Linked DNA regions of Stegostoma tigrinum. The protein of the gene in region 1 purifies or fractionates together with the protein of each later gene. This does not show direct contact. Links are inferred from orthologs where the notes say so. Each region holds a gene or a part of one and is shown on either strand. Other genes may lie near its edges.

Region 1 (16,510 bases):
GCCCATGACAGACATGTCATGTAAAGAATGGGAGGGGGAGTGGAAATGGTTCACGACTGGGAGGTGCAGTTGTTTATTGCGAACCGATCGGAGGTATTCTGCAAAGCGGTCCCCAAGCCTCCGCTTGGTTTGCCCAATGTAGAGGAAGCCACACCGGGTACAATATACCACATTGGCAGATGTGCAGGTGAACCTCTGCTTAATATGGAAAGTTACAAGCTGGTTGCCTGAGATGGAGACTGAGAGGTCCAGGAAGGTGAGGGTTGTGCTGGAGATGGCCCGGGTGAACTTGAGGTTGGGGTGGAAGGCGTTGGTGAAGTGGATGAACTGTTCAAGCTCCTCTGGGGAGCAAGAGGCAGCGCCGATACAGTTATCAATGTAACGGAGGAAGAGGTGGGGTTTGGGGCCTGTGTAGGTGCGGAAGAGGGACTGTTCCACGTAACCTACAAAGAGGCAGGCATAGCTTGGGCCCATGCGGGTGCCCATGGCCACCCCCTTTGTCTGTAGGAAGTGGGAGGAATCGAAAGAGAAGCTGTTGAGGGTGAGGACGAGTTCAGCTAGGCGGATGAGGGTGTCGGTGGAGGGGGACTGGTCGGGCCTGTGGGGCAGGAAGAAGCGGAGGGCCTTGAGGCCATCTGCATGCGGAATACAGGTGTATAGGGACTGGACATCCATGGTGAAAATGAGGCGTTGGGGGCCTGGGAACTGGAAGTTCCGGAGGAGGTGGAGGGCGTGGGTGGTGTCATGGATGTAGGTAGGGAGTTCCTGGACCAAAGGGGAGAGAATGGAGTCCAGATAGGTGGAGATGAGTTCGGTGGGGCAGGGACAGGCTGAGACAATGGGTCGACCAGGGCAGGCAGGTTTGTGGATTTTGGGAAGGAGATAGAAACGGGCCGTGCAGGGTTGAGGAATATTGAGGTTGGAGGCTGTGGGTGGCAGGTCACCTGAGGTGATGAGGTCATGAATGGTGTTGGAGATGATGGTTTAGTGCTCGGGGATGGGGTCATGATCAAGGGGGCGGTAGGAGGTGGTGTCGGAGAGTTGGCGTTTGGCCTCGGCGATGTAGAGGTCAGTGCGCCATGCTACCACTGTGCCACCCTTGTCTGCGGGTTTGATGGTGAGGTTGGGGTTGGAGCGGAGGGCTGCCCGTTCTGCAGGGAGAGGTTGGAGTGGGTGAGAGGGGTGGAGAGGTTGAGGCGGTTAATGTCTCGACTGCAGGTGGAGATGAAGAGGTCGAGGGAGGAGAGGAGGCCAAGGGGGTGGTGTCCAGGAGGAGGACTTGTGTTGGAAGCGGGTGAAGGGGTCAGTGGAAGGGGAGGGTTAGGCTCCCGGTTGAAGAAGTAAGTGTGGAGGCGAAGGCGACGGAAAAACTGGTCTATGTCCAAACGTGACTGGTATTCGTTGATGTGTGGTTGTAGGGGTACAAAGGTGAGCCCCTTGCTTAGGAATGAACGTTCGTCCTTAGTCAGTGGGAGGTCTGGGGGGATGGTGAAGATACGGCAGGGCTCAGTGTGGCTGTCTCCTCTGGGGTTGCTGGCTGTGGAGGTTGTGGGCGGAGCGATGAGGTGGTCGACTATGGGCAGGGTTCCGTCAGCGTCGGCCGTGGGCGGGGTTCCCTTGGCGTTGGCCGTGGGCAGGGTTCTGTTGGCCCAGTTCGTCCCCTCCCCTCACTGCATCACACAACCAGCCCAGTTCATCCCCTCCCCCCACTGCATCCCAAAACCAGCCCAGCCTATCTCTGCCTCCCTAACCTGTTCTTCCTCTCACCCATCCCTTCCTCCCACCTCAAGCCGCACCTCCATTTCCTACCTACTAACCTCATCCCACCTCCTTGACCTGTCCGTCTTCCCTGGACTGACCTATCCCCTCCCTACCTCCCCACCTATACTCTCCTCTCCACCTATCTTCTTTTCTCTCCATCTTCAGACCGCCTCCCCCTCTCTCCCTATTTATTCCAGAACCCTCACCCCATCCCCCTCTCTGATGAAGGGTCTAGGCCCGAAACGTCAGCTTTTGTGCTCCTGAGATTCTGCTTGGCCTGCTGTGTTCATCCAGCTTCACACTTTATTATCTTGGATTCTCCAGCATCTGCAGTTCCCATTATCTCTGCTTCTATGCAGTCCGTAAACCTCTATTTCCAGCCTATTCACACATTATTAATTTAATTCTACTTACCAAGGACGTTTCATCGCTCCTCTTAACTCCTTGTTTGAGTTCTTTCCTGTTATCTTTGTATTCTTTGAGACCTCGGTTTTTCTTTTGTTTCCTAAATCTTATATATGCTTCCGTTGTCTTTTTGATTAAGATCTCAATTTCTCTTGTCAACAAAAATTTCCAAATTTTGCCATCCTTTTTTTTCATTTTCACAGGAACATTGCAAGTCCTGAACTAGAATCAACTGGCCTTGAAAAGATTCCCATATGACAGATGTGGACTGATGCTCAAGTGGCCACCCCAATTCATATTCCCCAATGGCGATAGCAAGAACTGCAGAGGCTGGAATAGATGACAAAGTGTGGAGCTGGATGAACACAGCAGGCCAAGCAGCATCTCAGGAGTACAAAAGCTGATGTTTTGGGCCTAGATCCTTCATCAGAGAGGGGGATTGGGAGAGGGAACTGGAATAAATAGGGCAGAGGGGGAGGCGGACCGAAGATGGAGAGAAAAGAAGATAGGTAGAGAGGAGAGTATAGGTGAGGAGGTAGGGAGGGGATAGGTCAGTCAAGGGAAGACGGACAGGTCAAGGAGGCGGGATGAGGTTAGTAGGTAGGAAATGGAGATGCGGCTTGAGGTGGGAGGAAGGGATGGGTGAGAGGGTGAACAGGCTAGGGAAGTGGAGACAGGCTGGGCTAGTTTTAGGATGCAGTGGGGTGAGGGAACAAGCTGGGCTGGTTTACTGATGCAGTGGGGGGAGGGGAAGAACTGGGCTGGTTTTGGGATGCACTGGGGGAAGGGGAAATTTTGAAGCTTGCGAAGCCCACATTGATTCCATTGGGCTTCAGGGTTCCCAAGTGGAATATGAATCGCTGTTCTTGCAACCTTCGGGTGGCATCATTGTGGCACTGCAGAATGCCCATGATGGACATGTCGTCTGAGGAATGGGAGGGGGAGTTGAAATGGTTCGCGACTGGGAGGTGCAGTTGTTTGTTGCGAACCGAGCGGAGGTGTTCTGCAAAGAGGTCCCCAAGCCTCAGCTTGGTTTGCCCAATGTAGAGGAAGCCACACCGGGTACAATGGATACAATATACCTCATTGGCAGATGTGCAGGTGAACATCTGCTTATTATGGAAGGTCATCGTGGGGCCTGGGATAGGGGTGAGGGAGGAGGTGTGGGGGCAAGTTTAGCACTTCCTGCGGTTGCAGGGGAAGGTGCCGGGTGTGGTGGGGTTGGAGGGGACCGTGGAGCGGACAAGGGATTTGCGGAGAGGGTGGTCTCTCCGGAAGGCAGACAAGGGTGGGGATGGAAAAATGTCTTGGGTGGTGGGGTCGGATTGTAGATGGCGGAAGTGTCGGAGGATGATGCGTTGTATCCGGAGGTTGGTGGGGTGGTATGTGAGAATGGCAGGGATCCTCTGGGGGCGGTTGTGGCAGGGGCTGGGTGTGAGGGATGTGTTGCGGGAAATGTGGGAGACGCAGTCAAGGGCGTTCTCGACCACTGCGGAGGTAAAGTTGCGGTCCTTGAAGAACTTGGACATCTGGGATGTGCGGGAGTGGAATGCCTCATCCTGGGAGCAGACGCGGCGGAGGCAGAGGAATTGGGAATAGGGGATGGAATTTTTGCAGGAGGGTGGGTGGGAGGAGGTGTATTCTAGGTAGCTGTGGGAGTCGGTGGGCTTGAAATGGACATCAGTTACAAGCTGGTTGCCTGAGATGGAGACTGAGAGGTCCAGGAAGGTGAGGGATGTGTTGGAGATGGCCCGGGTGAACTTGAGGTTGGGGTGGAAGGTGTTGGTGAAGTGGATGAACTGTTCGAGCTCCTCTGGGGAGCAAGAGGCAGCGCCGATACAGTTATCAATGAAGTGGGAGAAGCTTTTATGCCCCTGAGATGCTACTTGGCCTGCTGTATTCATCCAAATCCACTTTGGTATCTTGGATTCTCCAGCATCTGCAGTTCCCATTATCAAAGATAGCAAAACGTCTAGGTGCTGGAGTGCTTTTCTGTTGCCTCCTCCTCCGTGCTGTTTCCACCACCTCTGCACCTATTTCTTTGATCAGGCGTCTAACCCTCCCTCTAACAACCCATACTCCTGCTTCCAGTAAACCCCATCTTCTGGATACCAACCCACAGCCTCTTAACCTCCCTTGACGTCTTCATCTGAACTGCCGTTGTGAAATCAATTGTCTAATTCTCTCCACCCCTCCCACTCACTCCAACCTCCATCCCACAACAGAATGTGCAGCTCTCTGCTCCACCCCCACCCCCACCATCAAACCTGCAGCTAAGGAGGCACAGTGGTGGTAAGGTGTACTGACCTCTACATCTCCGAGGCCAGGCACCTACTCTCGGACACTTTCTTGTACTCTGCCCTCGACTGTGACCTCACCCCTGATCACCAAACCCTCATCTCCTGGACCATCAATAACCTCACTACTTCAGGAGACCTCCCACCCACAGCCTCCAACCTCATTGTTCCTCAACCCCGCAACACCCATTTCTACCTCCTTCCTAAAATCCACAGTCTCTGCCTGCTCCTGCCCTGCTGAATTTATCTCCACTTACCTCGACTCCATTTTATCCCTCCCCGCACCAGTCCAGGAACTCCCCATCTACAAAACTTTCAAATCTCCAGCCTCGAACACCTCATTTTCAACATGGATATCCATTATCTGCACTATTACCTCCCATGAGGAGGGCCTAAAAGCCCTTCGCTTCTTCCTCTCCTGCAGGCCTAACCTATTCCCCTCCACCGATACTCTCCTTTGCTGAACAGAACTTGTCCTTATCCTCAAAAAATTTTTCTTTAACTCCTCCCACTTCCTACGAACTAAAGGGGTAGCAACGGGCACTAGCATGGGTCTGATCTATGCCTGCCTCTTCGTAGCAGACCACCCCACCCACCTCCAAATCCAGCTCATCATCCTCCGCCATTTCTACCATCTGCAAACTAACCCCACCACCAAAGAGATGTTTCCCTCCGCACCACTTTCTGCCTTTCACAGGTGCGCTCTCTCCGCAGCTTTCTCATCTGCAACTCCCCACTAACCCCAAAACCTGTGGCTCTTTTCCCTGCAACCGCAGGAAGTGCGACTTCTGCCCCTATACCTCCCCCCTCACCTCCATCCAAGGCACCAAACAGTTATTCCAAATCTGACAGGATTCACCTATGTGTCCTCCAGCCTGGTCTACTGTATCTGTTGCTCCTGATGCGGTCTCCTCAACATCGGTGAGACAAAGCTGAAACTCATTGACCAACTCAGAAAGTACCTGCGCTGTGTACGCAATAATCAACAACACCTTCCAATTGCCATTTTAATTTGACCTCCCACTCCCTGGGTGACATGTCCATCCTGGGCCTCCTCCACTGTCACAATGATGCTACACATAAACTGGAGGAACAACATCTTATATTCTGGCCTCAGGAGCTTACAGCCCAATAGCCTCAACATAGAATTCACCAGTTTTGAAATCTCCTCAGCCCCGGCCTCATCCCTTGACTAACTCTCCCTCTCATCCTCGCCTCCTTAACCTGACACAACCAGTCTATCTTCTTTCTCGCCTTCCACCCAACCCTTCCCATGGCCTATCTCCACAACCTGCATCCATCTATCACCATCCCACCTCCCTTACCCTAGCCTCACTCCCTTCCTCCTCGCCAGTCCTGATGTAGGGTGTAAACCTGAAACATTGATTCTTCTGCTTCTCTGATGCTGCCAGACCTACTATGTTCCTCCAGTTCCACACTGTTTTGACTATATTCCCCCATTCTGCCTACTATTGTGGTAATTAGCCTTCACTATTTGAGTACTTTCGCTTGAGTAGTACTCTTATCCATAAGTAATTTTAAACCTACAGAATTATGGTCACTGTTCCCAAAATGCCCCTACGCTGAAACTTTGATCATGTGGCTTGGCTCACTCCTCAATACCAGGACTGGTACGGTTCTTTCCCCACTGGGACTGTTTCAAAAATCCTCCTTGATGCACCGAACAAATTTGTCCCAGTCAATATAAGGGAAGTTAAAATCACCCATCACAACTACCCTATTGTTTTCACATGTTTCCATAATCTGTCCACTTTATCCGTTCTACAAGTATGTGATAAATAAGAGGATGACTAGGGTAGGAATAGGGCCAGTCAAAGACCGAAGTGGGAAGTTGTGTGTGGACCCTGTGGAGATCAGAGAGGTGCTAAACAAATATTTCTCATCTTTTTCACTCAGAAAAGGGAGAATATTGTAGAGGAGAAGACTGAGTTATGGGTTACTAGAATTGAAAAGATTGAGGTTAGTAAGGAGGAGGTGTTATCAATTCTAGAAGGCATGAAGGTGGATAAGTCCCCTGGGCTGGATGGGATTTTTCCCAGGATTCTCTGGGAAGATAGGGAGGAGGTGGTGGAGCCTTTGGCCTTGATCTTTGAGTCTTCATTGTCTACAGGTTTAGTACCAGAGGACTGGAGGATTGCAAATGTTGTGCCCTTGTTCAAGAAGGGCAGTAGAGATGACCCAGGTAATTATAGACCAGTGAGCCTTACGTCTGTTGTAGGAAAAGTTTTGGAAAGGATTATAAGAGATAGGATTTATTATCATCTTGCATCAAGCAACAATTTGATTGGATATAGTCAGCACGGATTTGTCAAGGGCAGGTCGTGTCTCACAAACCTCATTGAGTTTTTTGAGAAGGTGACCAAGCATGTGGATGAGGGTAGGGCAGTTGACGTGGTGTACATGGACTTCAGTAAAGCCTTTGATAAGGTTCCACATGGTAGGCTACTGGAGAAAATACGGAGGCATGGGATTGAGGGAGATTTAGCAGTTTGGATAAGAAACTGGCTTTCTGTAAGAAGACAACGAGTGGTCGTTGATAGAAAATATTCAGCCTGGAGCCCAGTTAAGAGTGATGTGACTCAAGGATCTGTTTTGGGATCACTGCTATTTGTCATTTTTATAAATGACTTGGACGCAGGCATAGGTGGATTGGTTAGAAAGTTTGCAGATGACACTAAAGTTGGTAGAGTGGTGGACAGTGTGGAAGAATGTTGCAGGTTGAAGGGACACTTGGATAAACTGTAGAATTGGGCTGAAAGATGGAAAATGGAGTTTAATATGGATAAATATGAAGTGCTTCACTTTGGGAAGAATAACAGGAAGGCAGAATACCAGGTGAATGGAAAGATTCTTGGTAGTGTGGATGTGCAGAGGGATCTTGGTGTCCATGTACATAGATCCCTGAAAGTTGCCACCCAGGTTGATAGTGCTGTTAAGAAGGCTTACGGTGTGTTAGGTTTTATTGGTGGAGGGATTGAGTTCCAGTGCCGTGATGTCATGCTGCAACTGTACAAAATGCTAGAGCGGCCTCACTTGGAATATTGCATGCAGTTCTGGTCACCCCATTACAGGAAGGATGTGGAAGCATTGGAAAAGGTGCATAGGAGATTTACCAGGATGTTGCCTGGTCTGGAGTGAAGGCCTTATGAAGAAAGGCTGAGGGACTTGGGTCTGTTCTCATTGGAGAGAAGGTGGCTAATAGGGGATTTAGTAGAGACATACAAGATGATCAGAGGATTAGATAGGGTGGACAGTGAGAGTCTTTTTCCGAGGATGATGATGCCAGCTTGTACGAGGGGGCACAGCTGCAAATTGAGAGGTGACAGATTTAAGATAGATGTCAGAGGCACGTTCTTTACTCAGAGAGTGGTAAGGGCGTGGTACACCCTGCCTGCCAATGTAGTTTACTCAGCCACATTAGGGGCATTTAAACAGTCCTTGGATAAGCATATGGATGATGATGGGATAGTGTAGGGGGATGGGCTTACATTAGGTCACAGGTCGGCACAACATCGAGGGCTGAAGGGCCTGTTCTGCGTTGTATTGTTCCATGTTCCTGTATCACCCACTGGCTTTTGGGAAGCCTGTAGTATAAACCCATCCAAGTGACTGCACTCTTCCTATTCCTCAGCTCTACCTATATGGCATCACTGGATGGGCCCTCAAGATGGCCTCCCTCCATGCAGCTATGATATTGTCTTTTAGCAATAACATGACCTCTTTTAAATCCCTCTCTATCTCAGTGAGCCAGAGACCCAGGTTGAAGGCCTAGCTTTGGGTGGCATGGCAGCTCAGTGGCTAGCACTGCAGCCTCACAGCGCCAGGGACCCGGGGTCAATTCCCACCTTGGATGACTGACTGTGTGGAGTTTGCACATTCTCCCAGTGTCTGCGTAAGTTTCCTCTAGGTGCTCCGGTTTCCTCCCACAGTCCAAAGATGTGCAGGTTAGGTGGATTGGCTGTGCTAAATTGCCCAGGGTGTTCAGGAGTGTGTGGGTTATAGGCGGATGGGTCTGGGTGGGATGCTTCAAGGGGCAGTGTGGACTTGTTGGGCCAAAGGGCCTGTTTCCACACTGTAGGGAATCTAATCTAGCTGTTCCAGATTCATGTAATAACATCTTTGAACAGATTGGTAAGGAAATATATTGGGAGAAAAACAACATAAAGCCAAAGTTGTCTGTTTTATTTGAAATTCCTTTGAAGACTGAAATGTATACAAATAGTCATGATGTTCTCTGGAAACAAATGCAACTTAGAGACAGTCAACTATGTGGGGTCATAATGGTATAATTGTCGGGAAAATTTTGAATTGAAGCATGCCTGATGCAAATGCTCATACTTGGCTGGAAGTACATGTTGATAACAGCCCCAAAAAAACAGAAAGATTCTCTCTATAATGAAAACATTTTGAATTTTTAAAATTCAATTAATGACCTTGATAAATGACTACTAGTATGCCCTATTTATTGCAGATTTGATAATTAGCCTTTGTTTGTATAATTAAAGAAAACCTTATTAGCATTTTATCAAGAATGAAGAATCAGATAACAAAGGATGACAAGATTCCCCAGGATATAAAAGAATGTGCAGAATCCTGTCCTCATAGATACTTACAGATCGAGAACCTTATCCATGTCAACTGAAAAGCTTTGATGCTCCGTGGCCCACTTAACCACTTTATGATTGAATTACGATGTTGATGATGAAGTAATTTGCAGCCTGGAGGAAATGTTGCCCTTGTGAACTTTCCCCTAGTCTCCCCTGCCATCAGCTCTGTGATGGGGGGTGGGGGGTTGAGGGCCCAAAATAACAGAATGCAATTACTAAACATCCTCGTTACGTCTTCTTCGGTATACATTTATAAAAACAGTTTGAAGTTCGCCAACTTTGAATATTATCAATGTATCTCTTTCTAAGACGAATAAAACAGACACGGAAGTTACTAATTAAAAGTCAGACGAAACAAAATATCGCTGTCAGTATGCGGAGATATGCTTTCCCCAACATCCCCCTTGTAATTGAACAAAGAAACGTTAGCTGCGCACCTTATCAGTGAAAATGTGACCTGATGTAGCTACTGTGTTAAAACGAATAAACTTAAGTTAGGAATCGTTTGATTTGTTTTGAAACGTCAGATGAAATGCCCAAGGCGGAGGGCGGGCCAACTTGAAAGGAAACTAATAGAGTTAGCATGAGCAAGGAGGAAAAGTGTAGGAGCGTGTTTTCTTGCTATTTGTGTTTTCACAGCTACGAGGAGCATCAGCATCATTAGGTAAGCAGACAATTTAAATCTGTCCTATGTTAAGGATGTTATTACTGTGTCGTTACCAGGCTGGCTGCAGGCTACTTTCTGATAGCTGTAATTTTTAGTCAAGCACGAATGTCGATAGCCGTGATGTCATCAAGTTAATGAGATTGGGCCATTCCCTAATCCAAAATAAATAAATGGGAGATGATTTACAACCGAGTGCTTGGGTCTGGGAGGCTTTCTACACAGTTTATTCTGAACACAATTTTTAATTAAATTATAAACACTCCACATCTATTTTAAATAAATCGTTTCCAATTTAATTAGGTAGTAACCCCTATCGTTTTCAGCTGAACAATGTTTCTCCACTGTGCCAAATAGTTGAACCACAAAAAAATTGAGAGAAATATCTGGGTGGCAACCAACTCTTGGAGCCTGCATCCTCGAGGGGGCGGGCTGCAGAATGATTGACGTGCTGCCGGTCCATAGATTGGGAGAAGGGCTGCGGAAGAGAGCCAATCGAGAGAAAGGGGATGGGTTTTGGCGCACCGGAGTGCCTCCGACTTGTGGAGAAAATGACAGCCCAGCTTCGTGAGTCTGTGAGAGGCTGAAGTGCCTGTTCACTGTTGGCTCGGAGCTGACAGTGGTTATCACTCAAAGAGCAAACCTTCCTTTTCGCTCTTTCTTTCTCTCACCCCTCCCCTCCTCTCCCGCCTTGTTCGAAATTCAGACGAATTGATTCCAGCGCCGCTTATCTGGATGAAATACTTTGTCTTCGTGGCGTGCCAAGATTTCTCGAGAGAGAGAGAGGGAAAATCTCGAACTTGTTGGGAAAAAGAACGCCGAGAGGCTGTGAAACACTTCCTGTGTTTGACAGGAGGATGGAGGGAAGCCTTCAAACTTAAGCCCACTGCTTCGTCTCTCACTTGCTGCTATTTGTTTTAAAGAGGGAAGGGGAAACCCATTATTTTGATTTTCGACTCCCCATTCAGACCTTTACCGAGGACTCGGAGCGAGGCACCAGATTGGATCATTCTGCCGGAGATGTGTGACATGATTTCAGAGCAGTCGACTGAGAAAATCGGCAGAATGAAAAAGTTGAGAAGAACTTTGTCTGAAAGTTTCAGTCGTTTAGGTGAGTGTATTACTTACTGAAGTTTTTGATCTCTTAACTATTTGGTGAAATGTAGCCTTTAGTTTCGCTTTCTGGAAAGTGTGTTCATTCTTTCGGTTTTTAAAAATATGTCCATTGACTGTTAGTTTTTTTTCCTCCTCTCCCTTAAAGATGAACACTTTCACAGTGGTAAAGCTAGCTGGCGCAGTTATCACAGTGTTCTCTTCTGTGCGGTGCTAGCTTCATAAAACAAGCTGCTGATATACTCTACTACATAAGAAACCTCCCAATATTCTGAACCTTTTGTGCGTACTATAATCCGCAATACCGTTAATGAAATGGCTTGGGTTATTATAAAGACACTTAAGCGTAGAAGAATTCCTTCTAAAAAAAAATCAGAACGGAGGTTTTCTAAAAGCTCTGCTTTGCCCATGTGGGTAATGGGTATAAAGTGAGTGTAGGTACTTGGATTATTGGGAAGTTACACGCAAGCTAGGCATTAATTTACCGTATGTTTCTGTTTCTCTTTTTGTTTTAGCCTTGAAGAAAGACGACAATAACTTCGATGAGGTAAGATACACGGTTTAGCTAAATGTGTTAGGTACAGTATTTGCAGTGAAGTATTGAATAGAAGTTACTGTTTTCTTTTGGGACATTGTGTAAGACATTATCCTTTATCCTTGTGACCAGAATTCAAATCTAGATCAAACTCTTTTTGGCAGTCTGAAGCTATGTTAAGTGGATCCGTGGAGGATTTTATTTTGTTATTCAGCACCACCCCACGTTTTACTTTTTTGAGCATGTTGAATACAATACATTGTGATTCAGAAAATACATTCAAATTGACCAATGTAGTTCCTATTTTTTTTGTAGTATATTCAAGGAATTGGAAAGATTTAACATTTCTGGACTAGTCTGATTTGCAATTATAACATTGCTCTGGATTCTAAGACCTGTATTAGTGATGGTTTATAGAATCGCTTTTGTGGGTGAAACTAGGATTAACTGTGAGCTGATTGATATAAACAAGACATTTTTGAAGGCTAAATGGGAAACTGGGTATTTCCTGTGTGTACTGTAAGTGTCCAGCTGTCCATTCTGTCCTGGGAGTGCAAAGGGTTAAATTGATTCAACACTTCTGAAATAAAAGCTCTCTCTGTGTAGATGTTGTGCCACCAATCCTCATTCATTGAAAAGTTTTACGGTAGAGATATTGGGACTTCACCTGTCTACAAGAGAATTGTTACTGCAATGCCTTTGGACAGTGAAATGAACTTTGTAAATTATCAAAATATATCTAGATATATACTTCATCTCTTAAAATAAGATCGTCTTGTTTACTCAATGTGAATAAATATTGTAAAGAATCAACAATTTTCAATAGAATGTCCAGGAGAGAGCAAAAATATCCTTGAATAGGATGGAAGTTATGGCAACATTCCCTTATTTTTACCACTCCTAATTTCACAATGAAGGCACTTTCCCATAGAAAGGAAAGATTATACAGGATGGGGTTTAATTTGAATTTTTTTAATTGCATAAACATACTATGTTTGCATAATTTAATGAATTATGCAGTGCATCAACTGTAGATATGAGGATAGCATTAATGTATTCATGCCTTGTGAAGGCGGTTTATGGCACTCTCCCTTATGTTTATTTCTGGAATTTACTGACCACTGAGACCAGTTTCAAACATATTTATCTGTTCTGAGAACTTGGTGACTTTCTCCTGGATAAGGGTTAAAGAAGATACATAAACAGCATCTGTTTTGGCGTGATTACAGTCCTAGAGTGATGAGCTTGTCAGGAGATGCCTGGTATGCAGAATCAAAATCTGATACTGGATCCAGGCAGGTCTGTAGTACTCCAAGGTAATGATGATTGATCAGTAACCTTGGTCGGTTAATGGAACCTGTAAGGCTAGCTATGTTTCTTTTGAGGCAGAATTCTTTGTTCTCTGCTCTAGATAACCCTGAACCTTGATCTAAATAGATATCACTATTACTGATATTCATACAATTGGCAGCTCTTTTGGATTTCTCAATTTGTTTCATTCTGGTATTGTGCACATAAACAAAAAAAATTGTTTTGGTTTTGTTTTCTTTAAAATATATAGGTGGTTATTCAGGGCAGCATTGTTAGGATAATTTCTGCCAATCTGAAATAATAATGACCCCATTCACTTGTGATATAATTCAAACTGGTTTGAGATGCAAAAACTGTACAACGCTTAATTTGTAATGTTCCTTTTTAACAAGGAATTTTTATTGCTGCTCTATTAGCAGATGTTTCACATTACAAATGATCAAACTCATTCAAATATCACCTACTTTATCATGTGTCAATTAAATTCAAATTTGAATTTGACTGACTTCTATTATGACACTTAAAAACTTAAAATTTTGAAGTTACCTTCTTGGCTTAAAAAAATGCTGCCCTGAAAAGGTTTTTTAGCATTCTGCTGCAAATCCACAAAAATTCATTGAACGAAGTGCTTTTCTGTCAATCTAAATTTGTCATTATATGACAATGGAATGTTGCATCAGCTGTTTCTTTTTACAGTTTCTTCAGCTTATAATTGTGAAATAACTCAATGTTTAATCTCTTTTGTGTTTTTAAGAAATATTGGGTAAGCTCAGTTGATTTTTCACTCCATATTTTACTGGACACATTGAGAGTAGGTATGGTATGTCACATTTTTTTAAAAAAAGAAGTTACTTTCTTTACAAACTTTTTAAACAGCAATCACCTGCCCCATCATCTGTCCACTCATTCAAATAATTAGTTTTTGCAGAATCGGTATGAAGCAAGCAATGTTTCAAAGCTTGTGCAATATTTGGAGGTAATAGCCAGCATTACATACAGATTAGCAATGATTCCTTCCTTTGTTCTAACAAAGCCGTGAGTTGTGGCTCCTTTTTTTTTTCCGGTAAGCGGACCTGAGAGAAATAATGTGATTTATAATAATCGGTATTTCAGATCTGTACATTCTTAGTTCACATGACAGATGATCTGTGATGCACTCGAGGAAAAGAAACTTCAAAACAAAGCTGTTCTTGGTTTAGTACGTGGAAAAATATGCAAATCTGGACAGCATGAAAAATGTACCCACTCCTCAGTCTTGTATTTGGTGACTATAGCAACTTCCCACTGAAAATGACTGTTAGAAACACAATTGTTGGAGGGGGTGGGGTGGTAAATCCTGCTTTTAATGTAGCTATAATGGTATGTTAACATTGAATGCAGCATGAAGAAATTCACCTATTGGTGTTTTTGCCCACATGTCCAGTGTTGGAGTGCAGAATATTTGGCTGTAGAATTTGAATTCTGTACCTCTTTTTTTTTGTGTTCATTGCCTCCATAGTGAATGTATGTTTTTTAAAACAAAAAATTGTAGTCATTTTAACATTTGGTAGTGTTATTTTTTTAAAATAAAAGGCCCATGCCAACAGTACCTCTCGGTGCTGTGAAGAGCTTACCAATACTGTGGTTTCAAGTTCTCTTGATCTTGAATATGCTTTGGAAAAGATGAGTGACCTATTTAAAACTTCAGGCATTCTTTGGATTAGTGTGCTGTATTTAGTTTTGTATTGATGGTTGTGGAAGAGTCTTTAAATGGGTTTCGCGGTATAGAATGATGCTTTGGATGGAATACTTGTATGGTTTCTGTCAATTAAGGGTTATTAGTACATGGAGGACATTGCAGTTAAAGTCTTTAATAGACTGGAAAGCAATTGGTATAATGAAGGAAGTTATTAATCATATGTTAAAAATAAAATCATGACAGCTACAATAGTGTTCCACTTATTTTTCAATAATCTCTACTTTATCGCTTGTTCTGCAATACTGTGATATAATCAAAATATTCTATGAACAACAGTTTTGTCCGTTCCACAGAGGCCCACTGAAACGTGTTTTGAACACTCTCTCTCTAGGTATGTTTCTTCTCTAAAATCATGGTAGAAACTCCAGCTCTGAAGTGGAGATTCCCATGAGTCTGAAATGAGTTGCTATGTAGCAGCATTGGAAAAATTGTGTGTGCTGTGCAATATATGGGTCACAAAAAGATTTTAAAAAGTTGCTCAAGAGAATTTGCTATTAGTTACTTTGATAATACAGAATTTAAGCATTTCTGGGGGGAGGCAGGAAAACAAACAATAAACACCCATGCTACCAATGGCTTTATCTTGCACTCATAAGGAGAGATGCAAGAATGCCATATTTCAAAAAGCAAAAATTTATACTCTGTGAGGAGGGTGCTGAGTAGCTAGTTAAGCTTGGTTATACGTGTTGCCATAAAGAACAGTTACTTGGGCCAATTTTGGAATTAAATGAAAAGTCTTGATCTGTTTTCCCCTTGCAGAGGATGGGTCCTGCCATATAAAGGCATGCAATATTCTGGTGAGCAGAAATGAACCGTATTGTGCATCCTTACAATCATTAGCTAACTAAGATGGATAAGGATTGGCTCAAACTAGAATAAAAGGTGTGCAATGCTATGATGACTTGATAGTAGGCCAAACATTTGAGAAAGTTTTTGAAATGTAATGAGGGGAAAGAATTGGAGCATGATGAGAAAGGTAGGAAAATATTTAAAGTTGGACAGGAATAACTGTTTAAAAATGTACAAACAGGTAAATGGCTTTGGAGGGTGAGACTGGAGAGGGTAGGAAACAAAGACAGGACAGAAGATTTGAACAAGTGTTTTGTATCAGTGTTCATGGCAGAAGATGTAAAAATCGTCCTAAGGTTGGTATTAAAAGAAGAGGGGTGGGGGGGTGCGTGGTTGGTGAACCTAAATACAACGGGGAGAATGAAATGGAAATTCCAGTTGTATTTAAGGCTGAAAAACCAGATGGCTTGCAGTCTAGAGTCTTAGAAGTAACTGCAGGCTACTAGATGCATTTTGAATATAATCCTGCAAGATTCCCTAAGTTGTGCAAAGATCAGAGTGGATTGGAAAACTGCAAATGTGGCAACTCCACTCAAGACAGGAGGAGGTGGCAAGCAGGAAACTGTGCCATAATGAACTTGATATCTGATCAGAGAGCATTTATTGTTTCAAGGTATGGGCAGGTCAGGATTTTTAGATAATCCCTGTACAATCAAGCACAGTTAGTACATTGTTTCTTTTTATCATTTTTTTTTTGAGGATGTAAAAAGTAGGTGGCTAAGGGGAAACTAGTAAATGTAGATGGAATCTTGCTCAGCCAGTGAGAGCTGTGCTGTCTTTTTCAGGGAAGGCCATTTGAATCCAATGCCAGTCAGACACTGGCAAGGCCAATAGTGGGCCTTCAGTTGGAAAACAGACCTCGCGGATGGAAGTCCTGCCCAGTGATAGAGGTTGCTGTCCTTAAGCTGGCGAGATGGGAAGGTCAACCATCAACACTCCTGTCCTAGGTGCTTTATTCTGGTGGAGTTGGGAAAATGACAAAAATGTGGGTGCGGTACCATCCTGCCCAAATAAGTGCCCTTTCTGCCTTCAAGCTCTCCATTTACAGAAGCAAAAGATCACACTTGTAATGAATTTTCATGGCCAACTTAAAGATCTTTAGGAAATGTAAAGAGTCTATACACATACAATATACTTGTTTACTATATTGTATCAAATATTATATGTTGGGAACCAACTAACAGGAAAAGGAGTTGGCTAAATGGATCC
Region 2 (16,728 bases), about 21 Mb from region 1:
TACTGCAGCTCCCCGTGGAGTTGTTAGCACTGGACACATAATCATGACATGTCATCAATTAATACTATTTCTGAGTGCTGACACCCAAGTGTATGGTGGGTTTTTGATACTTTCCCCTTCCTCTGCAGCAGCACTCTCATCTAGGACAACTGATAGTTATTCTTCACTGCTGCTGTAGACTTTTGGAGTCTACACATCCTGAAATTGGAAGGTTAAATTTGCGCATTACGGAGATTCTGAGTGCACTCTTACTAAAGAAGGTGTCATTGGAATTTAAAATTTGAGTTGTCTGAGAAACAAAAAGCAACTCATTTCTGCTACTTTCTGTAGATTCTGCCCTTCAGATTATGGGAACTTTTTAAACAAATACTTTCTGGGTCTGTATACCCATTAAAGGCTGTCTTTAGTCACTCTCTCAGTCTAAAATTAAATCTTCTGTTTGATGACTCTTTACTCTCTGCTCTTTTTTCTCCAACAGTTAACATTACATGGTGTTTCTTTTCAATGTCATGTCCAGATTTGCTGAACATATTGTTTTCAAGCTCTTGTCTTGTGGTTGTTTCAAATACAAATACATAGTTTGTGTCACTTTGCTGCACTTAGTCCACTCCTCCTGTGTCTGGATTGTTATGGTTTTTATTGTAAAGGCAAGTGATGAGACAGAACCCCTTGTCTGTTATTTGGGCACTGGGCCATGTGCCCATTTAAGTCCTGCCAACTGATTGTAACGGTTTAAGGTTGGATAGGGTTAGGGTACAGACCAGAGACAGAGACCAGCCTGACAAATCAACTACCGACCTTGGCAGTCATGCTAGACTCTGCAACAGTTTGTTCCTAATATAGTTCGTACAATGCAACAGATTAAAGTGCCCTTGCCAAAATATGTAGGAATGGTGGTATAGGCCAGACATTTCTAGCTAAATGCCCTAAGATAAGGGGGTTCAAATGATTTTAAATTAAGTTTAAACATTTTATAAATAAAAAATGTGGTCTCACGAAACTTTTCAATATTTAAAATATTAAAATTTCAGTTTCTACCCAATGAAATATGGACACTGTTTTCCATAAATATAATCTCTACTGAAGTGGAATGGATCAAGTTCGAGTTATATCTGATTAGAGATTTTTAACTTACAGTTTTAGAATTGTATATTTGTGCACCCATCACAAGCCAACCTAATTATCCACAGTTGGGCACAGATATGACAGATACAGTTTAATACTGAGGAGGAGGATGTATGTTTTGACTTGAAGAATGAAGAGAATCAATATAAACTAAAACTTACAATTTCAAAGGGGGTTCATGAATAAAGAATTGAAGATGCAAATATATAAATCTTAAAAGATTGTAAAACAAGTTGAGAAGGCTGTTAAAGAAAATTGCACTATAAACAGAAGCATAAAGTTTTAAAGCAAGAAAGTTAAACTAAACAGTTATAATTCACTGATTAGACACCAACTTCCAAATCTGGGCACTGTGTTTCAGTGAAGTTGTTGAAACCTTGGACAGTGTGCAGAGGAGCTAATGTAGAATATACTAATAGTGAAGGAAATCAGTAATGGAGTGACCAGAGAAGGTGGGGTTGTTCGCTTCACAGCAGAGAGTGATTTAATGGAAGTGCTCAAAATAATTAAGAATGCTGCTAGAATAATTAACTAGAAACTGTTTTCAGCAGTATATAAGTTAAAAACCAGAAGACATGGATTTAACAGAATTGCCAAAAGAAACAGAGGTGAGATGAAGAGTTTTTTTTTCAATGTGGTGTTTATAATGGTCTGGGTTGCAATTCCTGAAGAGATGGTGGAAGTAGATTTAATATTCAAAAGGGCATTGGAAAAGTATCTAAAGGGGGAACATTGTAGAACTAATGGGGAAAAGGTAGGTGGGGGGGATTATTTGACAGCTCTTTCGAAGATTTTCCAAGACACAATTTGTATGATTCTATGATTCCATGACTCAACATATTTCACTTATGGGCATTATAGATTTTCTTTACATTCAAAATATATTTGAGTTCTTGGAATTATTTTCTTAGGACACAATCAACAGAATTTAATGAAGACTCTGGGAGCAGGAAACATGGTGGGTGGGCTGAAATAATCAGGCTGGCGTAGAAATAACACAGTGTGGAGCTGGAGGAACACAGCAGGCCAGGCAGCATCAGAGGTGCAGGTACGTTTAAGGTTTTGGCGTAGAACTCGACTCCATATACATTCCACTATGAAGGAAAACCGGAAGTGAGGCAATCCAGCTCAATGGACTCCAGAGTTTAAAAACCAGGCGGGAAAACACACCGATGCTTCATCGGAGGCTGCGCTGATGATATTACCCAGCACAGTAATGAAATGTCTGTGAAATAACAAACCAGCTCAGTGAGCCAACCAACCTCAACAGCAGGAATAATTGTATTAGAGATAATGGGAACTGCAGATTCTGGAGAATCCAAGATAATAAAGTGTGAAGCTGGATGAACACAGCAGGCTAAGCAGCATCTCAGGAGCACAAAAGCTGATGTTTGGGGCTTAGACCCTCCATCAGAGAGGCCTGAAACGTCAGCTTTTGTACTCCTGAGATGCTGCTTGGCCTGCTGTGTTCATCCAGCTTCACACTTTATTATCAACAGCGGGAATGTTGACATTTCGGTTGGGACACGTCAATTTTCCTGCTCCACTGATGCTGCCTGACCTGCTGTGTTCCTCTAGCTCCATACTGTGTTATCTCTGACTTCAGCATCAGCAGTTCTTACTATCTCAGGCTGGAGTAGAAATTTTGGATTCACAATGGTGGGATAAGAATGAAAAATTAAGCCGGTCGTTTGGGCCTTCATGATCATATAATTGGATGCAGTGAATACTAATTAATACTGAATAAAAGAGACATGCTGTTACATCTTCCAATTGCTCACAGTGTATCAGACAGACTCATAATCAGGCGATCACTTTTAGTCCTGAAAAGTGTCTGGTCTAACTCAAACATTACTGGAGAAGGTAAAGGTGTCTCAAAATTTGAACAATGGGTGAAGTTAGCGGTTTCTTGATGTTACTATGCAGGAGCAGCATACGTGGTACTCTCCAGTAACAGGATTCTGCTGTAGAATCAAAAAGACAACAGCTTCAGAGTCAGCATGAGGTCCTCCAAGTGTCTGGGGCCTCAGTTGTGGCAGTCCCCCTTCATTGCTGGAAGACCTTTGAACTGCATTCATGAGAATGTGACCACGGATCTAAATGTGATGCCCTCTGTGACTTGGCTGGGTGTAACTGAGCAAGTGGAGGGTGCAGCTTACATAGGTGACAGTGGTCAATGAATGCCCTTGTACCCAGATGTGGAATCTTCAGTCTTCAGTGGCAAAGGCGTGGATTGTGTAAACTATAAAGGAGAATCAAAAGAAATAGGTAAAGGTTAATAGAGTCTATGAGCATAGCATAATTCTGCATGTGGTCCTCAGCCAACATCAGATTGGATCCATTATTACTCCTCGTAATTGTCGGTCCAACCTCGCCATCAGCTGAGTGTGGCTTCCCTGTTCCCCAGCAAGCTATATGGCTGAGTGAGGACTGTAAGATTATGCCCTATTTCACTCGGTTTTGCCTTTCCCTTTTGATTATCGATCTGCTCATCCTGCGGGGGGAAAAGGATCTTTACAAATGCAGACTGTCCCCCTTGTCTGCACATAGACCCATCAAGTATACTGGCCTGTTGATGTTCGGTCAATATCAGTTGCTCACTCGAGCAAAGTGGTCACATGTTTTGGCACCAAGGGCCATGTAGCCCAGAGACTCACTTCGAGTTCAGATACCTAGCCTTGCTGTATAAAAAGTACCCATATGACAGATCATCCCAGGCTACTGTTATATTTAACATAAAAACAGTAAACTCAACAGGTCTGGCAGCATCTGTGGAAAGGGGTAAAATTTCAGATCAATTGAATCTTCCTTGGAACACTATTACATTGAGCCTGATTTTGGGGGGACAATTAAAGAAGGAGCCTTTTGCAGCACTGCTTCATGATTTGGTTGTCCCCACAGTTGCTAATCTGCTCTGTGTTTTCTGTCCAGGCTGCCTTTGTCAGGCAGAAAAGTCTCCTGTCTTCATAATTTGGGAAGAGAGGCTCCCATTGGTCCCTAATGGCCTGGAGGAGAATTTGCAAGGAGGCATTACTGTTCTAACATCTTTAATTATGGTTGTAAAGAGCCTAGAGGATGTAGTCATCGTGGGGGGAAGGAGGGTGTTTACTGGGTTATCCCAGGAGAATAACGTTTTAATTAAGGGGGGAATGGTATCTGATTGAGTGAGACTGAGATTGAGAAGATTTACAAAAACCAAAAGATCAAAAATGCAGAATGAACAGAAGTGGAGGTGGAAACTAAGGCCCTGATGTTTTCTAATTGCCCTTGGAGCCTCTTTTATGAACCATACAGAACTGTCACTGGCAATGGGAAATTCCGACCCCTCCACACAATTACACCTATTTCACATGCTTGCCACCTAACATTCCTAAGCTGTCATCTGAATCATGGGCTCTCAACACAAAAGCAGAAGGGGTGACCCTTCTGAAGCCATTGCTGGGAATAGCACATTAGTGACTGGGTTCCGCCAGTGATACCTCAAACAACTTTGTGTTCAGTCTTGACAAGAATGCATTCAGGTCAAGGGCTCACAATTGGAAGTGAAGCATGCCACACCATCTTTGGATTACGTTCTTTGACAGAGTGCCAAGAATGCAACAATTTCAATCTGAGTGAATTGCTGAGTATAATTGAACCTGCTGTGGCCCTGGTTTTGTGAAACTGGCAGTCGGTAAAGTTTCAATTAGTCCATTGTGAGATACCATACACAGCAAATTCCCATTTAGTAAACAGAATTTGACTTTATAAGCATTGCAAATTCTCCATCACTTAGATTTATTTTAGGGGAAGGAAATGGGTAAAATTCATCCTTATTCTGCCATGTTTCCTGTCAGATCTTAATTTGTTTGAGAAAATAACACTTATCCAAGTTACTCTCCAATGGTAGGACTTTTTTTTCCCACAATTTCACCCTTCAGATTAAGCCTCCAGCTTCAGTATTTTATTCCAATCTGCTAATATATAGTAAAATATAACCACTACTTGCTGAAGGATGAAGTTTAACAATTCTTTTCTGGCTATAATGGTCACCACTGACACAGACAGCTTCCTGTATTATATAAATATTGCTGTATAATGATGATGTAAAGATCATCACCATGGTTGACCATGCACAATAATTTCATTTAATAATTGTAAGATCATAGATGATATTCTGGAAAACTAAAGAAAACTGATAGAATTTTTGCTTTCAAAGTGGACATTGCTTGTTGCACCTTCCCTTACTGAAAGCGGTTATGCATTACAATGACCAAAATTGGTTTGTATCATTCATTAAGATAACTGTTTTTAACTATCTTCTTTCTTGTATTAACATCATTGTTTGAGGTGTTTCTGGATTTTAACATGAAGCTTTACATATTAGAGCTTTTAGTCCTGCGTAGATAAATTTAAAACTCTTTCACATTACCACAAAACAGGCCATTCCTACGGCAAGAAGTGAATCTGGGAATGCTCTCTCAACATCGGATGGAAAGGATCATCTAGGTTTACTCAACCTTTTTATATTATTTTATCAGGTGTGGGGATTGCTGACAAGGTCAGCACTAATTGGTTTCTATTTGCTCTGAAGCTCATTCCTTTAAATGTGTTGACAAGGCTGGCTAAATTTCCACTCAGTCTGGTACCTCCCGTAGATGGCGCAACTGAGATTTGACACATGACTCAGAACGTTCTGTTTGTCCAAAAAAAAATTTACTCTGCCTCATTAGATGGCCATAAGACGATAAGACATAGGAGTGGAAGTACGGCCATTCGGCCCATCGAGTCCACTCCACCATTTAATCATGGCTGATGGGCATTTCAACTCTACTTACCCTCACTCTCCCCGTAGCCCTTAATTTCTTGCGAGATCAAGAAATTATCAATCTCTGCCTTGAAGACATTTAACGTCCCGGCCTCCACTGCGCTCTGTGGCGATGAATTCCACAGGCCCACCACTCTCTGGCTGAAGAAATGTCTCCTCATTTCCGTTCCAAATTTACCTCCTCTAATTCTAGGGCTGTGCCCACGGGTCCTAGTCTCCCCGCCTAATGGAAACAACCCCACAGCGTCCACCCTTTCTAAGCCATACATTATCTTGTAAGTTTCTATTAGATCGCCCCTCAACCTTCTAAACTCTAATGAATACAATTCCAGGATCCTCAGCCATTCATTGTATGTTAGGCCTACCTTTCCAGGGATCATCCATGTGAATCTCTGCTGGACACGCTCCAGTGCCAAATCTTATTCAGGATGATGGGAAAAGAAGTCACTGGAGCATATTCCTGGACAGGGTCCCATTCTGGCACACACTATGGGAAACATGTGAAGGCACTGGAGAAAGTGCAGAAAGGATTCATGAGATTGGTACCAGGGATGAGGTACATAAGTAGATTGTTGAGTTTAGGACTACGGGGAAAAGAGAAGGTTGAGAGGAGTTGTAGAGTCATAGATTCATACAGTACAGAAACAGATCCATTGGTCCAACTCACTCACGCCAACCAGACATCGCATCTAACACAGTACCATTTGCCAGCATTTGGCCCATTTCCCTCTAAACCCCTCCTATTTTATACGCATCTAGATGCCTTTTGAATGTTGCAATTGTACCTGTCTCACAAGGCATACAAAACTATGAGAGGTCTGGACTGAGTGGATACAGCAAACTGTTCTCATCGATGCTAGTGATAATAACGACAGGGCACAGACTTGAAGTGATTGGCAAAAGAAGCAACAGGAAAATTAGGAAAAATTTCATGGAGCAAGTGAGTGGGACCTTGGTTACACTGCCTGACAGTGTGGCAGAGACAGGTTCAATCAGGGCAATTAACGAGGAATTGCTTATTAACTGAAAGGGAAGAATGTGCAAGGTGACGGGGAGAAGATAGGGAAATAGCAGACAGGCAGATGTAAAGAGCTGAAAAGCCTCCTTCTGTTTTGCAATCATTCCAAGACTCAGAAGGTATCATATTCAGTACTTGATTCAGGTGGCAGCTGAGGGGCTGCATCTCCCCATTCAGGCAGGGAGTGTAAAAATGCAGCTTTGATGGAAAGTGCACCTGTGAAGACATGGAACTGTTTAGGTGTGCTGTGGCCGAACAGACGCTAACACTCATTTATTCAGATGGATAAATAAAAAGGAGTTTGCATACATTAAAAAAAGAGCTGCTGGGCTCTGATGTGGAATCTCAGGTTGGTGTTTACAGGAGAGGCGGGAGAAATTGTACCGAGAAACACAATTTAACATTTGCATTGCGTGAAAAAAAAGTTGAATTAAAGCTGACGGAGCATTCCCCATCCACGCATGCACTGTCTTGAATTTTGCAGCCCTCTCTGTCCGTACATCCGAAAATGCTGTGGGGGGTGGTTTTACTGCAGTCACCCCGTCGGCGGCTGTAATCTATCGCCTCGGCTGGTGGCTGTGTATCACTTTGTATTCACCGGCAAATCGCTACCCTTGAACCGGAACTCCTCGTGCGGATTGGTTACACTGTACTGTTGTTACTGTGTGTGTGTGTCTGTGCTGGGGGTTAAGTCACCATTTCAGACTCGAACACACACAGCAACAATGATGCGAGGCTCCACCTGAAGCTTGTGGTGTGCGTGTGTGTTTTTGTTGCCATTACCATCTTGGAGGACGTTCAAACCGTGAAGGGCTTGACTTTCATAGTGTCAGCGAGGAAGAAGGAAGAAAGCAGTAATAATGGCTTAGAGTGGACGTTGAAGGAGATGGAGAGGGAAATCAGCTGCTGAGCTTTGAGCAGATCTCCCCTCTGGTCCGTCAGTCTCGGGAGAGAGGGGGAAAACTCGCCTGTCCTTTTCAATGGCTGTGCAGTGCTAATTCTGGCCGGATGAGGGTGTTTCTCTGATCGGACACTGATTTTTTTGCCCTCTCTCTCTCCTTGTTTTAAATATCTGTAATATATTTCATCTCTCGTGTGTTCTCTGTGCAAAATCCTACTTCCTTTGGCACCACCTGAATCCGACCGTTCATTCGATCAAGGAAAAAAAAACATTAATCATACTCTGAGAGAGGGAGAGAGAAAATGGGGAATACCACTTCCTGCTGTGTCTCATCCAGCCCCAAGTTGCGGAGGAACCACGCTCGGCTGGAGACTTACCGCACCGACACCGACATCAGCCGGGAGGACACGGGCTGTAACCTACAGCACATCAGCGACAGGGAGGCGGTGGACGGTATGTGCCCGATGTTGTTGATCTCCCTCCTTCTATACCCGCTCCTCCCCCTTTCCACCCCATCTCCCCCTCCCGCCAACACCATCCTCTCTCCTCACCCCACTCCCATCATCCCCTCCCCTCTCCATCACCCCCTTCACCCCCTCCCCTCTCCATCACCCCCTTCACCCCCTCCCCTCTCCATCACCCCCATCATCCCCTCCCCTCTCCATCACCCCCTTCACCCCCTCCCCTCTCCATCACCCCCTTCACCCCCTCCCCTCTCCATCACCCCCATCATCCCCTCCCCTCTCCATCACCCCCTTCACCAACCCCCCCTTCATCACACCCGTTCCCCACCCCCTCCCTTCATTGCCCCCTCCCTCCAACCCCATCCCCCTCTCCCTCCGTCCTCCCTTCATCCCGCCACACCTCCTCATCCCCATCCCTTCATCAACCCATCCTCCTTTCATCCCCCATACCTTGTCCCCTCCCTTCCCCCAATCCCTTTGTCCCTCCACCCATCGATCCCCCTTCCCCTCATTCCCCCCCATCCCCCATTCCCCCCCATCCCCCATTCCCCCCCATCCCCCATTCCCCCTCATTCCCCCCCATCCCCCATTCCCCCTTCACCCCACCTCCATCCCCCTTCCCTTCACCCAACTTCGTTCCCCCATCCCCCCTCACTTCGTTCTCCCGCGCCCCCGCTTCGTCTCTATCCCTACTCCCTTTGCCCCCATCCCCACTCCCTTTGCCCCCATCCCCACTCCCTTTGCCCCCATCCCCACTCCCTTTTCCCCCATCCCCACTCCCTTTTCCCCCATCCCCACTCCCTTTGCCTGTCCCCCCTCCTTTCGCCCACCCCCTCGTCCCCCCCACCCCCACGTCCCCCCCACCCCCACATCCCCCCCACGTCCCCCCCACCCACCCCCACCCACCCCCACCGTCCCCCGCGTCCCCCACGTCCCCCACGTCCGCCTCGTCCCCCCCCACCCCCTCGTCCCCCCCCCACCCCCTCGTCCCCCCCCACCCCCTCGTCCCCCCCCCCACCCCCTCGTGCCCCCACCCACCCCCCACCCCCCACCCCCACCCCCACCCCCACCCCCACCCCTTCATTCACCCCCACCCCTTCATTCACCCCCACCCCCACCCCCACCCCCACCCCCACCCCCACCCCCACCCCCACCCCCACCCCTTCATTCACCCCCACCCCTTCATTCACCCCCACCCCCATTCCTTCAATCTCCCCCACCCCCATTCCTTCAATCTCCCCCATCCCCATTCCTTCATTCCCCCATCCCCATTCCTTCAAATATTCCCCATGCCCATCCGCATCCCTTTGCCTTCCCCCTCCCTTTGTACCCCATCCCCCACACCTTCGTCCCCCCCACCCCACCCCCACGTCTCCCCCCCCACGTCTCCCCCCCCACGTCTCCCCCCCACGTCTCCCCCCCCCACGTCCCCCCCCGCCCCCACGTCCCCCCCCGCCCCCACGTCCCCCCCCCGCCCCCACGTCCCCCCCCCGCCCCCACGTCCCCCCCCCGCCCCCACGTCCCCCCCCCGCCCCCACGTCCCCCACCCGCCCCCACGTCCCCCCACCCGCCCCCACGTCCCCCCACCCGCCCCCACGTCCCCCACCCGCCCCCACGTCCCCCACCCGCCCCCACGTCCCCCACCCGCCCCCACGTCCCCCACCCGCCCCCACGTCCCCCCCCCGCCCCCACGTCCCCCCCCCGCCCCCACGTCCCCCCCCGCCCCCCACGTCCCCCCCCCGCCCCCACGTCCCCCCTGCCCCCACGTCCCCCCCCGCCCCCACGTCCCCCCTGCCCCCATCCCGTTGTTCCCCCCTACCCCCTCCCCTTTGTTCCCCCCCACCCCCTTTGTTCCCCCCCACCCCCCACCCCCCACCCCCTTTGTTCCCCCCCACCCCCACCCCCCACCCCCCACCCCCTTTGTTCCCCCCCACACCCATCCCCACGCCCCACCCCCTTTGTTCCCCCCCACACCCATCCCCATTCCTTCATTCCCCCATCCCCATTCCTTCATTCCCCCATCCCCATTCCTTCATTCCCCCATCCCCATCCCTTTGCCTTACCCCCCTCCCTTCGTACCCCCCTCCCCCTCCCCCCGTACACCCCTCCCCCTCCCCCGTACACACCTCCCCCCTCCCCCCGTACACACCTCCCCCGCACACCCCTCCCCCCTTCGTACCCCCCCCTTCGTACCCCCCCTTCGTACCCCCACCCCCCCCTTCGTACCCCCACCCCCCCCCTTCGTACCCCCATCCCCCCTCCCTTCTTCCCCCCATCCCCCCTCCTTCTTCCCCCCCTCCCCCCCCTCCCTTCTTCCCCCCCTCCCCCCCCTCCCTCCCCCCCCCCTCTTCCCCCCCTCCCCCCCCTCCCTCCCCCCCCCCCTCCCCCCCCCCCCCCCCCCCCCCCCCCCTCCCCCCCCCCCCCCCTCCCCCCCCCTCCCCCCCCCCCCCCACCCCCCCCCTCCCCCCCCCCCCCCTCCCCCCCCCTCCCTCCCCCCCCTCCCCCCCCCCTCCCCCCCCTCCCTCCCCCCCCCTCCCCCCCCTCCCTCCCCCCCCCCCCTCCCCCCCCCCTCCCCCCCCTCCCTCCCCCCCCCTCCCCCCCCCCTCCCTCCCCCCCCTCCCCCCCCTCCCCCCCCCTCCCTCCCCCCCCTCCCCCCCCCTCCCTCCCCCCCCTCCCCCCCCCTCCCTCCCTCCCTCCCTCCCCCTCCCTCCCCCTCCCTCCCTCCCTCCCTCCCCCTCCCTCCCTCCCTCCCCTCCCTCCCTCCCTCCCTCCCTCCCTCCCTCCCCTCCCTCCCCCCCTCCCTCCTCCCCCCTCCCTCCCTCCCTCCCTCCCCCTCCCTCCCTCCCTCCCTCCCTCCCTCTCCTCCCTCCCTCCCCCTCCCTCCCTCCCTCCCCCTCCCTCCCTCTCCCTCCCTCCCTCCCCCTCCTCCCTCCTCCCTCCCCCTCCCTCCCTCCCTCCCTCCCTCCCCCTCCCTCCCTCCCTCCCTCCCCCTCCCTCCCTCCCTCCCTCCCTCCCTCCCTCCCTCCCTCCCCCTCCCTCCCTCCTCCCTCCCCCTCCCCCCCCCTCCCCCTCCCTCCCCCTCCCCCCCCCTCCCTCCCTCCCCCTCCCCCCCCCTCCCTCCCTCCCCCCTCCCTCCCTCCCCCTCCCCCCCTCCCTCCCTCCCCCTCCCCCCCTCGCCCCCCTCCCCCCCTCCCCCCCTCCCCCCCTCCCCCCCTCGCCCCCTCGCCCCCCTCCCACCCTCCCCCCCTCGCCCCCCTCCCTCCCTTCTTCCCCCCCCTCCCTCCCTCCCCCCCTCCCTCCCTCCCCCTCCCCCCCTCCCTCCCTCCCCCTCCCTCCCTCCCCCTCCCCCCTCGCCCCCCTCGCCCCCCTCCCACCCTCCCCCCCTCGCCCCCCTCCCACCCTCCCCCCCTCCCCCCCCTCCCTCCCTTCTTCCCCCCCCTCCCTCCCTCCCCCCCTCCCTCCCTCCCCCTCCTCCCTCCCTCCCCCTCCCCCCCTCCCTCCCTCCCCCTCCCCCCTCCCTCCCTCCCCCTCCCCCCCTCGCCCCCCTCCCCCCCTCGCCCCCTCGCCCCCTCGCCCCCTCGCCCCCCTCCCACCCTCCCCCCCTCCCCCCCCTCCCTCCTTCTTCCCCCCCCTCCCTCCTTCTTCCCCCCCCTCCCTCCCTTCTTCCCCCCCCCTCCCTCCCTTCTTCCCCCCCCTCCCTCCCTTCTTCCCCCCCCTCCCTCCCTTCTTCCCCCCCCCCTCCCTCCCTTCTTCCCCCCCCCTCCCTCCCTTCTTCCCCCCCCCTCCCTCCCTTCTTCCCCCCCCCTCCCTCCCTTCTTCCCCCCCCCTCCCTCCCTCCTTCCCCCCCCTCCCTCCCTCCTTCCTCCCTCCCTCCCCCCCCTCCCTCCCTCCTCCCCCGCCTCCCTCCCCCCCTCCTCCCCCTCCCTCCCCCTCCCTCCCCCTCCCTCCCTCCCTCCCCCCCTCCCTCCCTCCCTCCCTCCCTCCCTCCCTCCCTCCCTCCCTCCCTTCTTCCCCCCCTCCCTCCCTCCCTTCTTCCCCCCCTCCCTCCCTCCCTTCTTCCCCCCCTCCCTCCCTCCCTTCTTCCCCCCTCCCTCCCTCCCTTCTTCCCCCCTCCCTCCCTCCCTTCTTCCCCCCCTCCCTCCCCCCTCCCTCCCTCCCTCCCTCCTTCCCCCCCTCCCTCCCTCCCTCCTTCTTCCCCCCCCCTCCCTCCTTCCCCCCCCCTCCCTCCTTCCCCCCCCCCCCTCCTTCCCCCCCCCTCCCTCCCTCCCCCCCCCCTCCCACCCTCCTCCCCCCTCCCTCCCTCCCTCCCCTCCCTCCCTCCCTCCCTCCCCCCCCTCCCTCCCTCCCTCCCCCCCTCCCTCCCTCCCTCCCCCCCCTCCTTCCCACCCTCCCCCCCCTCCTTCCCTCCCTCCCCCCCCTCCTTCCCTCCCTCCCCCCCCCTCCTTCCCTCCCTCCCCCCTCCTTCCCTCCCTCCCCCTCCCTTCTTCCCCCGCTCCCCCCTCCCTCTTCCCCGCTCCCCCCTCCCTCTTCCCCCGCTCCCCCCCCCCTCCCCCCTCCCCTCCCCCCCCTTCCCCCCCCACCCCCCCTTCCCCCTCCCCCCCCCTTCCCCCCCCCCTTCCCCCCCCTTCCCCCCCCTTCCCCCCTTCCCCCCCCCCTTCCCCCCCCTCCCCCCCTCCCCCCCCATCCCCCCCCCCACCCCCCCCCCCCCTCCCCCCCCTCCCCCCCCTCCCCCCCCCTCCCCCCCTCCCCCCCCCCCCCCCCCCCCCCCCCTCCCCCCCCTCCCCCCCTCCCCCTCCCCCCCCTTCCCCCCCCCACCCCCCCCTTCCCCTCCCCCCCCTTCCCCCCCCTTCCCCCTCCCCCCCCTTCCCCCCCCCTTCCCCCCCCCTTCCCCCCCCTTCCCCCCCCCTTCCCCCTCCCCCCCCCCCCTTCCCCCTCCCCCCCCCCCTTCCCCCTCCCCCCCTTCCCCCTCCCCCCCCCTCCCCCTCCCCCCCCCTCCCCCCTTCCCCCTCCCCCCCCTTCCCCCCCTTCCCCCCCTTCCCCCCCTTCCCCCTCCCCCCCCTTCCTCCCCCCCTTCCCCCTCCCCCCTTCCCCCTCCCCCCCCTTCCCCCTCCTCCCCCCCCCCCTTCCCCTCCTCCCCCCTTCCCCCCTTCCCCCTCCCCCCCCTTCCCCCTCCCCCCCCTTCCCCCTCCCCCCCTCCCCCCCTTCCCCCTCCCCCCCCCCCCCTTCCCCCTCCCCCCTTCCCCTCCCCCCCCCCCCCTTCCCCCTCCCCCCCCCTTCCCCTCCCCCCCCCTTCCCCCTCCCCCCCCCTTCCCCCTCCCCCCCCCTTCCCCCTCCCTCCCCCCCCCTTCCCCCTCCCCCCCCCTTCCCCTCCCCCCCCTTCCCCCTCCCCCCCCTTCCCCCTCCCCCCCTTCCCCCTCCCCCCCCTTCCCCCTCCCCTCTTCCCCCTCCCCTCCCCCCCCTTCCCCCTCCCCTCTTCCCCCTCCCCCCTCCCCTCTTCCCCTCCCCCCTCCCCTCTTCCCCCTCCCCCCTCCCCTCTTCCCCCTCCCTCTTCCCCCTCCCATCTTCCCCCCCATCCCCCCTCCCATCTTCCCCCCCATCCCCCCTCCCATCTTCCCCCCCATCCCCCCTCCCATCTTCCCCCCCATCCCCCCTCCCATCTTCCCCCCCATCCCCCCTCCCATCTTCCCCCCTCCCATCTTCCCCCCCTCCCATCTTCCCCCCCTCCCATCTTCCCCCCCACCCCCCCCATCCCCCCTCCCCCCCATCCCCCCCCCATCTCCCATCCCCCCTCCCGTCCCCCCTCCCGTCCCCCCTCCCGTCCCCCCCCCCGTCCCCCCCCCCGTCCCCCCTCCCATCCCCCCCCCCATCCCCCCTCCCATCCCCCCCCCCCATCCCCCCTCCCATCCCCCCCCCCATCCCCCCTCCCATCTTCCCCCCCATCCCCCCTCCCATCTTCCCCCCATCCCCCCTCCCATCTTCCCCCCCATTCCCCTTCCCCCCCATTCCCCTTCCCCCCCATCCCCCTTTCTCCCCATCCCCTCTTCTTCCCCCCTCCCCCCTTCTTCCCCCCTCCCCCCTTCTTCCCCCTTCTTCCCCCCTCCCCCCTTCTTCCCCCCCTCCCCCCTTCTTCCCCCCTCCCTCCCTTCTTCCCCCTCCCTCCCTTCTTCCCCCCTCCCTCCCTTCCTCCCCCCTCCCTCCTTCCTCCCCCCTCCCTCCCTTCCTCCCCCACCCCACTTCCCTCCCCCCCCAACCCCTCCCCCCCCACCCTCTCCCCCCCTCTCTCCCCCCTCCCTCCCTCCCCACCCCCCCCTCCCTCCCTCCCCACCCCCCCCTCCCTCCCTCCCTACCCCCCCCCTCCCTCCCTCCCTACCCCCCCCCCTCCTCCCTCCCTACCCCCCCTCCCTCCCTCCCTACCCCCCCCTCCCTCCCTCCCTACCCCCCCCACCCCCTCCCTCCCCACCCCCCCCACCCCCTCCCTCCCCACCCCCCCACCCCCTCCCTCCCTCCCTACCCCCCCACCCCCTCCCTCCCTCCCTACCCCCCACCCCCTCCCTCCCTCCCTACCCCCCCACCCCCTCCCTCCCTCCCTACCCCCCACCCCCTCCCTCCCTACCCCCACCCCCTCCCTCCCTACCCCCCACCCCCTCCCTCCCTACCCCCCACCCCCTCCCTCCCTACCCCCCACCCCCCACCCCCTCCTCCCTACCCCCACCCCCTCCCTTCCCACCCCCCACCCCCTCCCTTCCCCCCCACCCCTCCCTCCCCCCCCACCCCCTCCCTCCCTTCCCCCTCCCCCCTTCCCCCCACCCCCTCCTCCCCTTCCCCCCCTTCCCTCCTCCCCCTCCCCCCCTTCCCTCCTCCCCCTCCCCCCTTTCCCCCCTTCCCCCCTCCCCCTCCCTCCCCCCTCCCCCTCCCTCCCTTCCCCCCTCCCCCTCCCTCCCCCCTCCCTCCCCCCTCCCCCTCCTCCCCCCTCCCCCTCCCTCCCTCCCCCCTCCCCCTCCCTCCCTCCCTCCCCTCCCCTCCCTCCCCTCCCCTCCTCTCCTCCCCGCCCCCCCCCTCCCACCTCCCCCACCCCCCGGTTCCCCCGCCCTCCCCAATCCCCCTCGCTTCCCCTGCCCTTCCTCCCCGCTTCCCCCCCACCCCCCCGAGCCCGTCCCCCCCGCTTGCCCACCACCCCCGCCTTTCCCACCTCCCCCACCCCCTGGTTTGTGGGCAGAACGTGCCTGCGGTCCTGGTTGGGGAGGTGTGTGTGTGTGTGTGTGTCTGTGTGTATATTATGTATATAATATATACACACACAGATATCAGTCCATCTGACTCTTCTGGGTTTTCAACCCGCAAAGCAGTACTGTTCCTCTCACCGTAGGTTCCGACGTTATCAAATCTTGTTTATTTCATTTTTATTGTTAAATAAAATAATTTACATTTCTGCTGCTGCGGTCCTGTGTGGCTGGGTGAAAAGCCAAGAACTTTCGCAGCTGACCGCCACCCTGAAACAAAAAGCCTGCTGGTCTCTCGCTGTCTGACCTGATTTCCTTTTTAAACGGACGTCAGTAAAAAGCCTGAACGAGTGCTGGGTTTCTCCACGCATTCCCGGGTTCCACCAGTTTAACTACATCTCTGTCACTTTATAACTTTATAGGCTCTTGGGAGAATTTAACAAAGACATTATTATGAGGAACCCCGCCCCGGTTACTCTCGGTGAATGAATGCTCACCTTCCAAATCAGGAGGGCTGTAAGCTGCCTGCTAAAGGTCTGGGCTGGATAGGGACTGGCTTTACTGATACATGAAATAACTCCCTGTTGATTCAACTGCTCCACCGTCCTTCCCTCTTCAGGATTCATCTAGTTTCTGACCTTACACGGAATGATGTTCCATTTTTCACTGGACCTTTTTTTTTCTCCCTCCCTGTGCGTTGAAACGATTCAACGAGAGCTTTGTGACTCGGGTTGCCACTTTGGTGTTGTGCAGTTTAGTCTGATAACGTACGATTGCCGACTCAACCGCATTAATTTCTGGCGTGGACTTGCAGCCTCTGGTCAGAGGGGTCCGGCTGCTTTGTGAGATGATGAAAGGGGGAAATCAGGCTTGCCCATGGTTGTAGATGATAGCTGAGAACACACAGCAGCAGCATTGCCGAACAAACATCCTTCCTATCTCTTTCACCTTCCCCACCCCCTTCAATTTCTAGTTTTTTTTGTAGATACAGCTGAACTGAGTTGATTCTATGGTGAGGGAGGTAGGTTACATGCATATGTATCAAATATGTAACCAGTCTAGGCAAGATTTGACTTTGCTCAAAGTGTTATGTTGCCACTTCTGCTCAATTGGTGCTGTAGAATATTGTCATTTGACTCCAGGTTTGAGCATTAAATTTAACCTGACACTTCATGACTGAACAGGGCTCTGTC

Evidence for each region.
Region 2: the proteins of cdk14 (region 1) and ccny purify together in Homo sapiens (affinity purification with western blotting; 3 studies listed by BioGRID and IntAct, with this or other methods). This does not show direct contact. The link is inferred for Stegostoma tigrinum from reciprocal best matches to the Homo sapiens genes CDK14 and CCNY.

Annotation. Positions count from the first base shown.
Region 1 is NC_081355.1:110,136,668-110,153,177, reverse strand, and holds the start of cdk14 (cyclin-dependent kinase 14), read left to right. Parts: upstream 1-10,296; 5' UTR 10,297-10,775; coding exon 10,776-10,866; intron 10,867-11,079; exon of another isoform or gene 11,080-11,150; intron 11,151-11,215; exon of another isoform or gene 11,216-11,296; intron 11,297-11,383; coding exon 11,384-11,415; intron 11,416-16,510. UniProt on the Homo sapiens protein: Serine/threonine-protein kinase involved in the control of the eukaryotic cell cycle, whose activity is controlled by an associated cyclin.
Region 2 is NC_081355.1:130,756,580-130,773,307, forward strand, and holds the start of ccny (cyclin-Y), read left to right. Parts: upstream 1-7,513; 5' UTR 7,514-8,153; coding exon 8,154-8,304; intron 8,305-9,998; coding exon of another isoform or gene 9,999-10,042; intron 10,043-10,622; coding exon of another isoform or gene 10,623-10,831; intron 10,832-13,010; coding exon of another isoform or gene 13,011-13,702; intron 13,703-16,728. UniProt on the Homo sapiens protein: Positive regulatory subunit of the cyclin-dependent kinases CDK14/PFTK1 and CDK16.